Linked DNA regions of Anolis sagrei. The protein of the gene in region 2 purifies or fractionates together with the protein of the main gene of each other region. This does not show direct contact. Links are inferred from orthologs where the notes say so. Each region holds a gene or a part of one and is shown on either strand. Other genes may lie near its edges.

What was found.
Region 1: the proteins of KAT2A (region 2) and E2F1 purify together in Homo sapiens (affinity purification with western blotting; 4 studies listed by BioGRID and IntAct, with this or other methods). This does not show direct contact. The link is inferred for Anolis sagrei from reciprocal best matches to the Homo sapiens genes KAT2A and E2F1.
Region 3: the proteins of KAT2A (region 2) and TAF9 purify together in Homo sapiens (affinity purification with mass spectrometry; 7 studies listed by BioGRID, with this or other methods). This does not show direct contact. The link is inferred for Anolis sagrei from reciprocal best matches to the Homo sapiens genes KAT2A and TAF9.

Annotation. Positions count from the first base shown.
Region 1 is NC_090024.1:209,386,951-209,390,703, reverse strand, and holds the start of E2F1 (transcription factor E2F1), read left to right. Parts: upstream 1-794; 5' UTR 795-1,242; coding exon 1,243-1,500; intron 1,501-3,753. UniProt on the Homo sapiens protein: Transcription activator that binds DNA cooperatively with DP proteins through the E2 recognition site, 5'-TTTC[CG]CGC-3' found in the promoter region of a number of genes whose products are involved in cell cycle regulation or in DNA replication.
Region 2 is NC_090026.1:36,358,341-36,362,093, reverse strand, and holds the start of KAT2A (histone acetyltransferase KAT2A), read left to right. Parts: upstream 1-1,479; coding exon 1,480-1,791; intron 1,792-3,753. UniProt on the Homo sapiens protein: Protein lysine acyltransferase that can act as a acetyltransferase, glutaryltransferase, succinyltransferase or malonyltransferase, depending on the context.
Region 3 is NC_090026.1:7,440,840-7,444,592, forward strand, and holds the start of TAF9 (transcription initiation factor TFIID subunit 9), read left to right. Parts: upstream 1-1,470; 5' UTR 1,471-1,506; coding exon 1,507-1,566; intron 1,567-3,753. UniProt on the Homo sapiens protein: The TFIID basal transcription factor complex plays a major role in the initiation of RNA polymerase II (Pol II)-dependent transcription.

The DNA.
Region 1 (3,753 bases), on a different chromosome or scaffold from region 2:
TACTTCAACTTGGTGAAAACTTTTATTGGGAAAAATCAGGGAAAATATTGGGTGCTTCTTTCTGTCTCGCCAGGGCAACGAACTCTTTGATGAGTCTGATAGGCCTCTTGGCAAAGACCCCTAAATTCTTGCTCGATATCACTTCCCTCTATTGTGCTGAATCAATTGAGTGCAAACTACAGTGGGCTCTCCATATCTACTGATTAAAACAGTTTGAAAATATTCCATCTAAATCGAAATAAATCAAGCAAACCTTGATTTTACCATTTCATGTAAGGGGGATTTTATCACAGGCAGAGGAAGCTGAAAGACTTTGTGAAACTACAATTCCCATGATCCCACCACAGCACAGAGCTATAAGTGTCAAACTACATTCATTCTCCAATGCAGATGCACCTCAGATCTCGAGTTGCTAGATAAAGGTTTTGCCCTGACATTAAGTCCAGTCGTGTCCGACTCCAGAGTTGTGACTTCCAAACTAAAAGAGCAGACCCAGCGGAGGCAGCAATTCTGACTCTTCTACAGAGAAACCGGATTGGCGGCAAACGAGGGAGGGCGGAGACTTTGACAAACCACCACGGGGGCCGCCCCTCGGTGGGCGTGCCCACCCTGCTCCGCCCTCCGCTTCTCATTGGCAGAGCGCCGTTCCCTTTTCCGCCGCTCGAGCCTCATCCATTGGTCGTTCCTCCAGCACGTTCTCTCCGTCCCCAGCGGCGGCCGCCTTAGCCAACCAGAGGGCGGCGGCGCCGTTATCAATCTCTCCCCGCCGGCCAATGAGAGCGCCGCTCCCCTTCCGAGGCCGAATGTTGATACGCGGGAGCCGTCCAATGGGAGCGGCGCTGCCGGGCTCGTGCGGCTTTCGCGGCAAAAAGGATTTGGCGCGCAAAGGCGTGCGAGGCCGGGACCAGCTGGGAACAATAACAGAGAAGCGGGATCGGATCGGATCGCGGCCTGCGAGCGGGTTCTCCGGGGGATGCCCCGGAGCGGAGCCTTGGCTGGCTTCTCCCTCCTCGGCGGCGGCAGCAGCGGCGTCGTCGTCTCTTGACTCGGAGGCGATGGGGCGTGTTCCTGGCCGCCAGCCCCCGGCGCCCGGAAGGAACCCAAAGGAAGAAGGGGGCTCGGCAGAAAGACAGGGCGCTCGCCCGCTTTGCTGAAGGGGCGCGGGGCTTGGGGCGGACGGCGATGTGACCGCAGGGCCGCGTCTTGGCGGGAAAGAGGCCCTCCGCTCCCCTCCCTCGGACCATGTCTCTGGGAGTGGCCCACAGCGTGGCCGACCTGGAAGCCCTGCTGCGGGGCGCCGAGGCCATCCACGTCGTGGACCAGCAGATCGTCATCATTTCCACCCCGGACCCGCTGCCCGCGCCCCGCAGCGAGGCCGAGGCCGCCGCCGCCGCCGAGCTGCTCCTCTTCGCCACCCCGGAGGCCGCCGCCACCAACGCCACCGCCGCCGCCGCCGCGCAGAGGCCTACTCCTTCTGCCGCTGCCCTGGAGCGCCCGCCGGTAATAATCCAGCCTCCCCCGCGCTTGCCTCCGGGGAAGCCAGGGCTGGCCGGGCAGAGAGGCGCCCTCCCTCCTCCTCTTCCTTCTCTTCCTCCCCCTTAAAAAGGCCCCAATGCCCCTCCGGGCCCAGACTAAAGAGACACAAATCAAGATATATATATCTATATCTATATCTATGTATATACATTTGAGGGGGAGAGGGGGGTAATCCACCATGTTAAGGGGAAAGGGCACACTTCCATGCTGGGAAAATGGCCTTTTGTTAGGGCTCCATGAGGCCTGGTTCCTGAAGCAGAGCCTTTTTCAGGGTAATGAGACTCAGGGCCCTTCCTCACAGCCTTATATCCCAGCAGATCAAGGCAGAAAACCCCACAAGATCTGCTTTGAATTGGAATATATGGCAGTGTGGATTCAAATAGCTCAGATCTTGTGGGATTATCTGCCTGAGTGATATGGCTGTCTGGTAAGGCCCTCAACTTCAAAAGTGTACGATTGCTATTCATAAGCTTCAAAAGAGTGTGATTGCAATATTCAACCCCTTGCTGCTCTTAATAATAATCATAACAATGATACAAATGGCCTTTTGTTAGGGCTCCATGAGGCCTGGTTCCTGGAGCAGAGCCTTTTCCAGAGTAGTGAGATTTAGGCCCCTTCCACACAGCTGGATAAAGTCCCACATGGTCTGTTTTGAACTGGGATATTTGGCAGTGTGGGCTCAGATCACCAGTTCAAAGCAGATATTGTGGGATTTTCTGCCTTGATATTCAGGGATATAGAACTGTGTGGAAGGGCCCTACATTTCAAAAGTGTACGATTGCTATTCATAAGCTTCAAAAGTGTGTGATTGTAATATTTAATAACTATAGTAATGATACAAATGGCCTTTTGTTAGGGCTCCATGAGGCCTGGTTCCTGGAGCAGATCCTTTTTCAGGAAAGTGAGACTTAGGCCCCTTCCACACAGCTGGATAAAATCCCACATGGTCTATTTTGAACTGGGATATTTGGCAGTGTGGACTCAGATCACCCAGTTCAAAGCAGATATTGTGGGGTTCTCTTCTTTGATATTTAGTATTATAGGGCTGTGTGGAAGGGCCCTTAAGTAAGCTTCAAAAGAGTGTGATTGCAATATTCAGCCCCTTGCTGCTCTGAATAATAATCATAACAATGATACAAATGGCCTTTTGTATGGGCTCCACGAGGCCTGGTTCCTGGAGCAGATCCTTTTTCAGGACAGTGAGACTTAGGCCCCTTCCACACAAATGGATAAAATCCCACATTATATGTTTTGAACTGGGATATATGGCAGTGTGGACTCAGATCACCCAGTTCAAAGCAGATATTTTGGGATTCTCTTCCTTGACATTCTGGGATATAGGCCCTTCCACACAGCTGAATAAAATCCCACACTTTTTGCTTCGAACTGGAATATATGGCAGTGTGGACTCAGATCACCCAGTTCAAAGCAGATATTGTGGGGTTTTCTGCTTTGATATTCTGGGTTATAGGACTGTGCGGAAGGGCCCTAAATCACACCATTCTGAAAAAGGATCTGGTCCAGGAACCAGGCCTCATGGAGCCCTAACAAAAGGCTATCATTATAGTTATTAAATATTACAATCACACAGTTTTGAAGCTTACAGTATCTGCTTTGAAGTGTGATATATGGCAGTGTGGATTCCGATTGCCCAGTTCAAAGCAGATATTGTGGGATTTTCTGCCTTGATATTCAGTGGTATAGGGCCTGTCTGGAAGGGCCTTTAAGTCAGCTTCAAAAGTGTGTGATTGTAATGTTAAGTGTCTTCCTTGGATTAATAATAATCATAATAATGAAACAGTTGCCTTTAGTTATTGCCCCATGAGGCCTGGTTCCCAGAGCAATGTGGTGACACATGGGGCCCTGCCATACAACCTTAAATCCCACAATATCTGTTTTGAACTGGTTATCTGAGTCCACATTGAGATAATGTGGTATTTTCTGCCTTGATATTTTGGGATATAGGGCTGTGTGGAAGAGCCCTTAGGCCCCTTCCACCCAGCTGAACAAAATCACATTTTCTGCTTGGAACTGGAATATATGGCAATGTGGACTCAGATAACCCAGTTCAAACCTATTCATAAGCTTCAGAAGTGTGTGATTGTTATTTATAAGCTTCAAAGATGTATAATATTAATGACAAAAATGTTTATTTTATTAGAGCTTCCATGGGGCCTGGTTCCTAGAACAAATCTCTCAAGATGGAAGGGCTTCAAA
Region 2 (3,753 bases):
GTGTGCTTTCAAGTCATTTCAGACTTAGGTTGACCCTGAGCGAGGGGCCAGGTAAATGACCTTGGAGGGCTGTATCCAGCCCCCAGGCCTTAGTTTGAGGACCCCTGGCCTAAGAAGTAAGAAAGAAAAAGATATGTGGACATTGGGAGCATCTCTGAAAATTCCCTTTTTAAACTACATCTCCCTCAAGACTATAAACACAATAAAAATCAAATCAGTTTCTTGATCCAAATGGATTAAGTAATTTTTTTAAAAAAAACCACTAAATAATAATAATAATAATAATAATAAAACTTTATTTGTACCTCGCTACCATCTCCCCAAGGGACTTGGTGCGGCTTACATGAGGCCAAGACCACAGCACATCAATAAACAAAAGCGATAACAGTAATCAATACAAAACAGTTAAAATAAACTGCCAGGGAATCAAATGCTAATCACGGTGGTCAGTTGAAATGTTCACACCTAGCTCCAGGAGACAAGAGTCCTTTGTCTCACCCTGGTCATTCCACAGATATATAAACCCCTTTTTCCTAGTTCCAACAGACCTCACTACCTCTGAGGTTGCTTGCTAAAGATGCAGGCAAAACGTCAGGAGAAATGCCTCTAGAACATGGCCATATAGCCCAAAAAAACCTACAACAACCCAGTGATTCCGGCCATGAAAGCCTTCGACAATAGTTAAAATAAAACTCAAAAACAAAAAATACACAATAAGCAATAAACAATAACAATAACATACAGCATTTAAAAACCTATGTCCGGGCCAAATGTAATAATTTAAAATTTAAAATGCTGGGCATGAACAAGGTAGGGTGAACTAGGATAGGGTTTTTAAAGAAAGATGAGGGCACACAGACAATCCTAAATCAATATTAAAGTGCATTTGATGACATATTGCTAAGAGTTTTCCTTATTCTGGGAAGGCACACTGGAACAACCACGTTTTTAGGCTCCTCCTAAAGACTGCCATCATTGGGGCATGCCTGATGTCCTTAGGGAGTGAATTCCAGAGTTGAGGGGCCACCACCGAGAAGGCCCTCTCCCTCGTCCCCACCAATCGCGCTTGCGAAGGAGGTGGGGGCGCAAGTAGGGCCTCTCCAGATGATCAAAGAGACACAGGAAAATTCAAATCAAAACAAAACCCAAATCAATCAAATAACTGTATTAGAGAAATAGTATTGTGGCATCTTCAGGATGAATAAACTGCCACCAATAAAAGTTTAGGCCAAGTAAGATTTAGTTTTGAAGCTGCATCAGGGCTGAATGTATTTTACATCTTTTACATGACGTTGATTGACAGCTCCTTTCTCTTCTGGTCTGCTATATGAACAACAGGACTCATCACTTAAGCCTTGGATTTCACCTTAAACGGCCCCTACTTGTGGGACTACATTCTCCGGCATGCAACTGGTTACAGCGAGCATGCGCAGTGGCGCTCCAGCCACAGGCCTAGGAGCCTCCGCCTGGCTTCTGAGCATGCGCAGTGGCATCCATGCGCCCACGCCGCCTCGGAGGGTCCTGGACATCATGGCGGAGCCGGAGGTTTCCTTACAGACTAGTGCCCGGACCCCGCAGGCTGCCGCATCCTCCGCCGCCACCGCTTCTTCGGCCACAGCGCCGCCTGCTTCCTCTGGAGGCGGGTCCGGAGGAAGCAGCAGTAGCAGCAGCAGCGATCCGGTTCGCCCGGGATTAAGCCAGCAACAGCGCGCGAGTCAGCGTAAAGCGCATGCGCGGAGCTTCCCGCGGGCAAAAAAGCTCGAGAAGCTGGGGGTATTTTCAGCGTGCAAGGTACGAAGCCCCGTAGGGGACAAAAATGTGCGGAAATAATGCCTCCGACTTTGTGGTCCAGCCATAGCTGCATCCTTTATGGATGTAGCAAGGCATTGATTAGGGTTTTTGGTCGCCTTGTTCTCCGACGCTGAGCGCAAACAGCACTTAGATTTGACATTCTGAATATATGCAGCCAATTGTTTCAGGGACTGGTAAAGAAGTTGATGTGGCTATCAGAAATTATGGGAAAACATTGAAAAGCAAATGTCCATCTCTCCAATTAGTTCATATGTATAATTTCTGTCAGATGTGTTGGCCTACATTCTTGTCAATGGGTGTCACGTTGCCAGGGCTCTGCCTTTACAGAGGCAGAGATGAACCAAACAAAAACCCAGTCTGTATAATAATAATAATAATAATAATAATCTTTATTTATACTCTGCCACCATCTCCCCAATAGGGACTCGGAGCGGCTTACATGGAGCCAAGCCCGGACAACATATTACATCAAAATAAAACCAAAACATAAACAACAAGCAACATTATCAAAATTACATTAAAAAAAACAAAACAAAAAACATATGAATATAGTAACAAAATAACATTACAATAAACACATTCGCAGTAACAGTGGGCGGGCCACATGTACAGGATAAAATGTTCAAAAACTCTAATGAGATAAAAATAGGAGCAAGTTATTTGCAGGGAGCTCATAAAGACACACAGGGTTGTGAAACTAAACTTCCCATTTGGGGAGCGTGTACTCCAGTGGCAGAAGCATTGAGGGGAGCAATAGTGTCATGTTGTGCACCTACTCGCCAAAGGCGCAGCAGAAGAGCCAAGTTTTAAGGTTCTTTTTAAATGTTTCTAGTGTAAAACAATTTAATTAAAACAGCACTTACTTTCAGGCTGTTTTAATAGTCCAAAATATAAAACATAAAGATAGCACTCAGCCACAGAATAAACAAAAACAGCAAACACTGTTCCAGGTTCAAGCTAACTCTGTAGTCAAAGGTCCAGTCCAGTGGTTAAACGCCGAGAATTCAATAAACAAAGTCCAGGGATCAAAAGTCTACCGTAGTCAACAGCCAGTCCAAAGATTCAAGGTTCCAGGATTCTAAGAGTTAAGGAGACAGGTCGGGATACCGAAAATCCAGAGACCTGGTGGAAAATCAGCAGCATCCACCACCAAAATATGACAATTACTTTGCTCTCGAAGATCAGTCCCAAGGCTAGCTCCTTATATCCAGAAACACCCAGCTGCAACGCATCCCTTGCATACCTCCACCCTCACTTGCTTTCACCCATGAACTCTTACTTACAGATTACTCAACCCTTTAGAAATAAGACTTACATTAATCCTTCCATCACCAACTGCTAGGCCTACCACCACCAACCACCATCAACTGCAGAACATGATACATGACATTGGGTCATGTTTACTTGTGTAATTACATTATTTATATTCCGCCCTTCTCACCCTACAGGGGACTCAGGGTGGATTACAATGCACATATACATGGCAAACATTCAATGCCATATAAACATACAACATGTATAAACAGACACAGAGACATTTAACATTCCAGCTTTTCCAGCTTTATGAGGGTATGCTCGATTCCGGCCACAGGGGGAGCTGCCGCTTCATCGTCTACTTGTGACACCGAGTCCTTTGATGGAGTACTTCGTTATTCTTCTGCACACTGCTGGAAGGTTTTATGTCATCATAAATTAATTTAGCCTCCTCACATAAAGCAGTACCCAAATTTCCTACTTGACAGATGCAACTGTCTTTCAGGCTGCATAGGTCGACAGCAGGCTAGACTATTTTTTAAAGAATAATTTTTATTAAAGGACTTTTTGATAGATGCAATAAAAAAGGAAAGAAAAGGGGGGGAAGGGAAGATGGATTGAAAAAGAGAAAGACAAAAAAAGTATAGAGAGAGAAAGAGAGAGAGAGGAGAAAATATAAACGGGAAA
Region 3 (3,753 bases), about 29 Mb from region 2:
AACATTCACACCTAGCTCCTGCAGACAAGAGTCCTTTGTCCCACACTGGTCATTCGACAGATATATAAACCCTTTTTCCTAGTTCCAACAGACCTCACTACCTCCAAGGATGCTTGCCATAGATGCAGGCGAAACGTCAGGAGAAAATGCCTCTAGATCATGGCCATATAGCCCGAAAAGACCTACAACAACCCAAAGGGGTTTGAGTTGTTCCTTTTGGCCCTTGGAACACCAAAACCAAATCATGTTCAGAGAAAATATATTACCATGGCTAATAGATAGCAAGGCAACAGTAATAAAAGCCATGATTGCTTGAATCAAGGAGCATCACTTGGGAGAAAATTAATTTTTCCTTTTTTTGTGTGTTTGGAAAGTTTATAAAAGTCAGGTTGCATTGGCCGGGAATCGAACCCGGGCCTCCCGCGTGGCAGGCGAGAATTCTACCACTGAACCACCAATGCATCTGTTGGAAAAAGCTGAAGATATAAATCTTTTTAGGGAGTAAAATGTATAATTATCATAATTATAACTCTTGCTAGCTATGGGTGTTTACCACAATGCATAAGAACTTTGTGAAGCAGCATTTCCTTATCTGGGGCATTGGTGGTTCAGTGGTAGAATTCTCGCCTGCCACGCGGGAGGCCCGGGTTCGATTCCCGGCCAATGCAACATGATTTTTTGAAAAAATATATATTTCATAACATTTCTTATTTTTCTTTAATTTCCTCCCATAATACATTTGTAGGTTATCCTGATTCTGCAACAAGTCAGGCTTTTTTTTTTTTTTGCAAGACCATTTTTCTGAATTGCATCATTGTCTCCTAAATTAAAGGTATTTTCCTTAAAATATCACTTTTTCCTCTTGGGCTATATTTTTTGTGCTAAGTAGCCTTCAACTGCTTTGTTTCGGAGCTTGGAGAAAAGTCCTCACTTTTTGACTACAACTCCCAGCATCCCCAGGGATTCCCAATCCAAAAATAATAATTTGGGAATGTGGCTTCTGACTGTTGCAACCTGGAAAAGTAACTTTCCCACGCTAAAGAGAAAGAGCACCACTAATTAGGTATGAAAATTCGCATTCTCTAAGACAAAGTGTAATTATGAGTCTTGAAAAATCCCTTTTAAACTTCCTATTAGGGAATGAATGGCAAGGAAATGGGCTTCACTTTCACCATTGCGCATGCTCGATATTATTTCCGGCTTTGGGAGATGCCGCTTGCGCATGCTCAGCTCAGTGCTGCAGCGGTTCTTCTGCGATGTCGGCGTGCAGAGAAGGGGCAGTTACTGGGACTTCACTTTCACCACTGCGCATGTTCTGTAATACTTCCGGGTTTGTGTACCGACTACGCATGCGCAGTGTGCTGCAGCTGTTCCTCGGCGAAGGAGGAACATGCAGTGAAAGGGCAATTGTTGGAGCTTCACTTTCATCATTGCGCATGCTCGATATTACTCCCGGCTTTGGGTGCCAACTGCGCATGCGCAGTGGGCAGCAGCGGTTCTTTAGCGATGGCGGCAATGGAGGCGAGCAAGATGGCGTCTCCTAAGAGCGCTCCTAAAGATGCTCAGGTAAGACTGGAAGAAAGATGATACTGAGCGATGACGGTTGTCTGGCCCGTTTGGCTTTTCGTAGTCGCTTCCTAGGGAACATATTTGGCTACCTGTATTAAAAAAAAACCTCTAAAATTAGAACAGCACAACAACAGAGAGGAAACAAACAAGGACATCTAATCACCTCTCAACAAAAGATTGCTCCAGGCACAGCCAGGCCATTATATGCTAATCAAGGTGGTCAGTTGAAACATTCACACCTAGCTCCAGCAGACAAGAGTCCTTCGTCCCACCCTGGTCATTCCACAGATATATAAACCCATTTTTCCTACTTCCAACATACCTCACTACCTCTGAGGATGCTTGCCACAGATGCAGGCGAAACGTCAGGAGAGAATGCCTCTAGACCATGGCCATATAGCCCTAAAAAACCTACAACAACCCAGTGATTCCGGCCATGAAAGCCTTCGACAAAAATCCTTTGTCTCACCCTGGTCATTCCACAGATATATAAACCCTTTTTCCTACTTCCAACAGACCGCACTACCTCTGAGGATGCTTGCCATAGATGCAGGTGAAACGTCAGGAGAGAATGCCTCTAGACCATGGCCATATAGCCCGAAAAAACCTACAACAACCTACTGTTTATTTATTCCACATACCGTTTTAGGGCCTTCCTTTTTGGCAGGGCTCAGTGGAATAGAGAGATTCTTTTTTTCCAAGCTTATTTTCCTGCAGTTCAGCAGTGGAACTCTTTGCTGCGGAGTGTGGTGGAGGCTCCTTTGGAGGCTTTTAAGCAGAAGCTGGATGGCCATCTGTCGGGGGTGCTCTGAATGCCATTTCCCTGCTTTTTGGCAGAATGGGGTTGGACTGGATGGCCCATGAGGTCTCTTCCAACTCTAGGATTCTGTTATGAATAACTTTCCCACGTTATTATTCTCTTCCAATAATAATAATAATACTTTAATGTATTGTCTAATCACCTCTCAACAAAAGCTTGCTCCAGGCACTACCAGGCAATCAAATGCTAATCAAGGTGATCAGTTGAAACAGTCACACCTAGCTCCAACAGACAAGAGTCCTTTGTCCCACCCTGGTCATTCCACAGATATATAAACTCGTTTTCCTAGTTCCAAAAGACCTCACTACCTCTAATGGAGCCCCCGTTGGCGCAGTGGGTTAACCCCCCCCCCTTTTTTTGTTGTTGTGTCAGGAGCAACCGCTCCTGTTGTGAGAGAATTGGCCGTCTGCAAGGACGTTGCCCAGGGGACGCCTGGATGAATTCTAATGTTTTAAACCCCTGTGCCGGCAGGATTGAAGACCGACAGGTCGCAGATTTGAATCTGGGGAGAGGCGGATGAGCTCCCTTTATTAGCTCCAGCTCCTCATGCGGGGACATGAGAGAAGCCTCCCACAAGGATGATAAAACATCAAAAATCATCCAGGCATCCCCTGGGCAACGTCCTTGCAGACGGCCAATTCTCTCACAACAGGAGCGGTTGCTCCTGACACGACAACAAAACTACCTCTAATCACATCTCAACAAAAGTTTGCTCCAGGCACTGTCAGGCCATTATATGCTAATCAAGGTGGTCAGTTGAAACATTCACACCTATCTCCAGCAGACAAGAGCCCTTTGTTCCACCCTGGTCATTCCACAGATATATAAACCCTTTTTCCTAGTTCCAACAGACCTCACTACCTCGGAGGATGCTTGCCATAGATGCAGGCGAAATGTCAGGAGAAAATGCTTCTAGACCATGGCCATATAGCCCGAAATAAACATCAACAACCCACTGTTTATTTATTCCACATACAGTTTTAGGGCCTTCCTTTTTGGCAGGGCTCAGTGGAATAGAGAGATTCTTTTTTTCCAAGTTTATTTTCCCGCAGTTCAGCAGTGGAACTCTCTGCCGAGTGTGGTGGAGGCTCCTTATTTGGAGGCTTTTAAGCAGAAGCTGGATGGCCATCTATCGGGGGTGCTCTGAATGCCATTTCGCTGCTTTTTGGCAGAATGGGGTTGGACTGGATGGCCCATGAGGTCTCTTCCAATTCTATGATTCTGTTATGAATAACTTTCCCACGTTGGAAGAGAATAATAATAATAATAATAATAATGAAGGAAGACTGCCTTTTCTAGATGTCCTAGTTATCCGCAAACCAGATCAACAATTGGGTCACACCGTTTACAGAAAACCCACACAC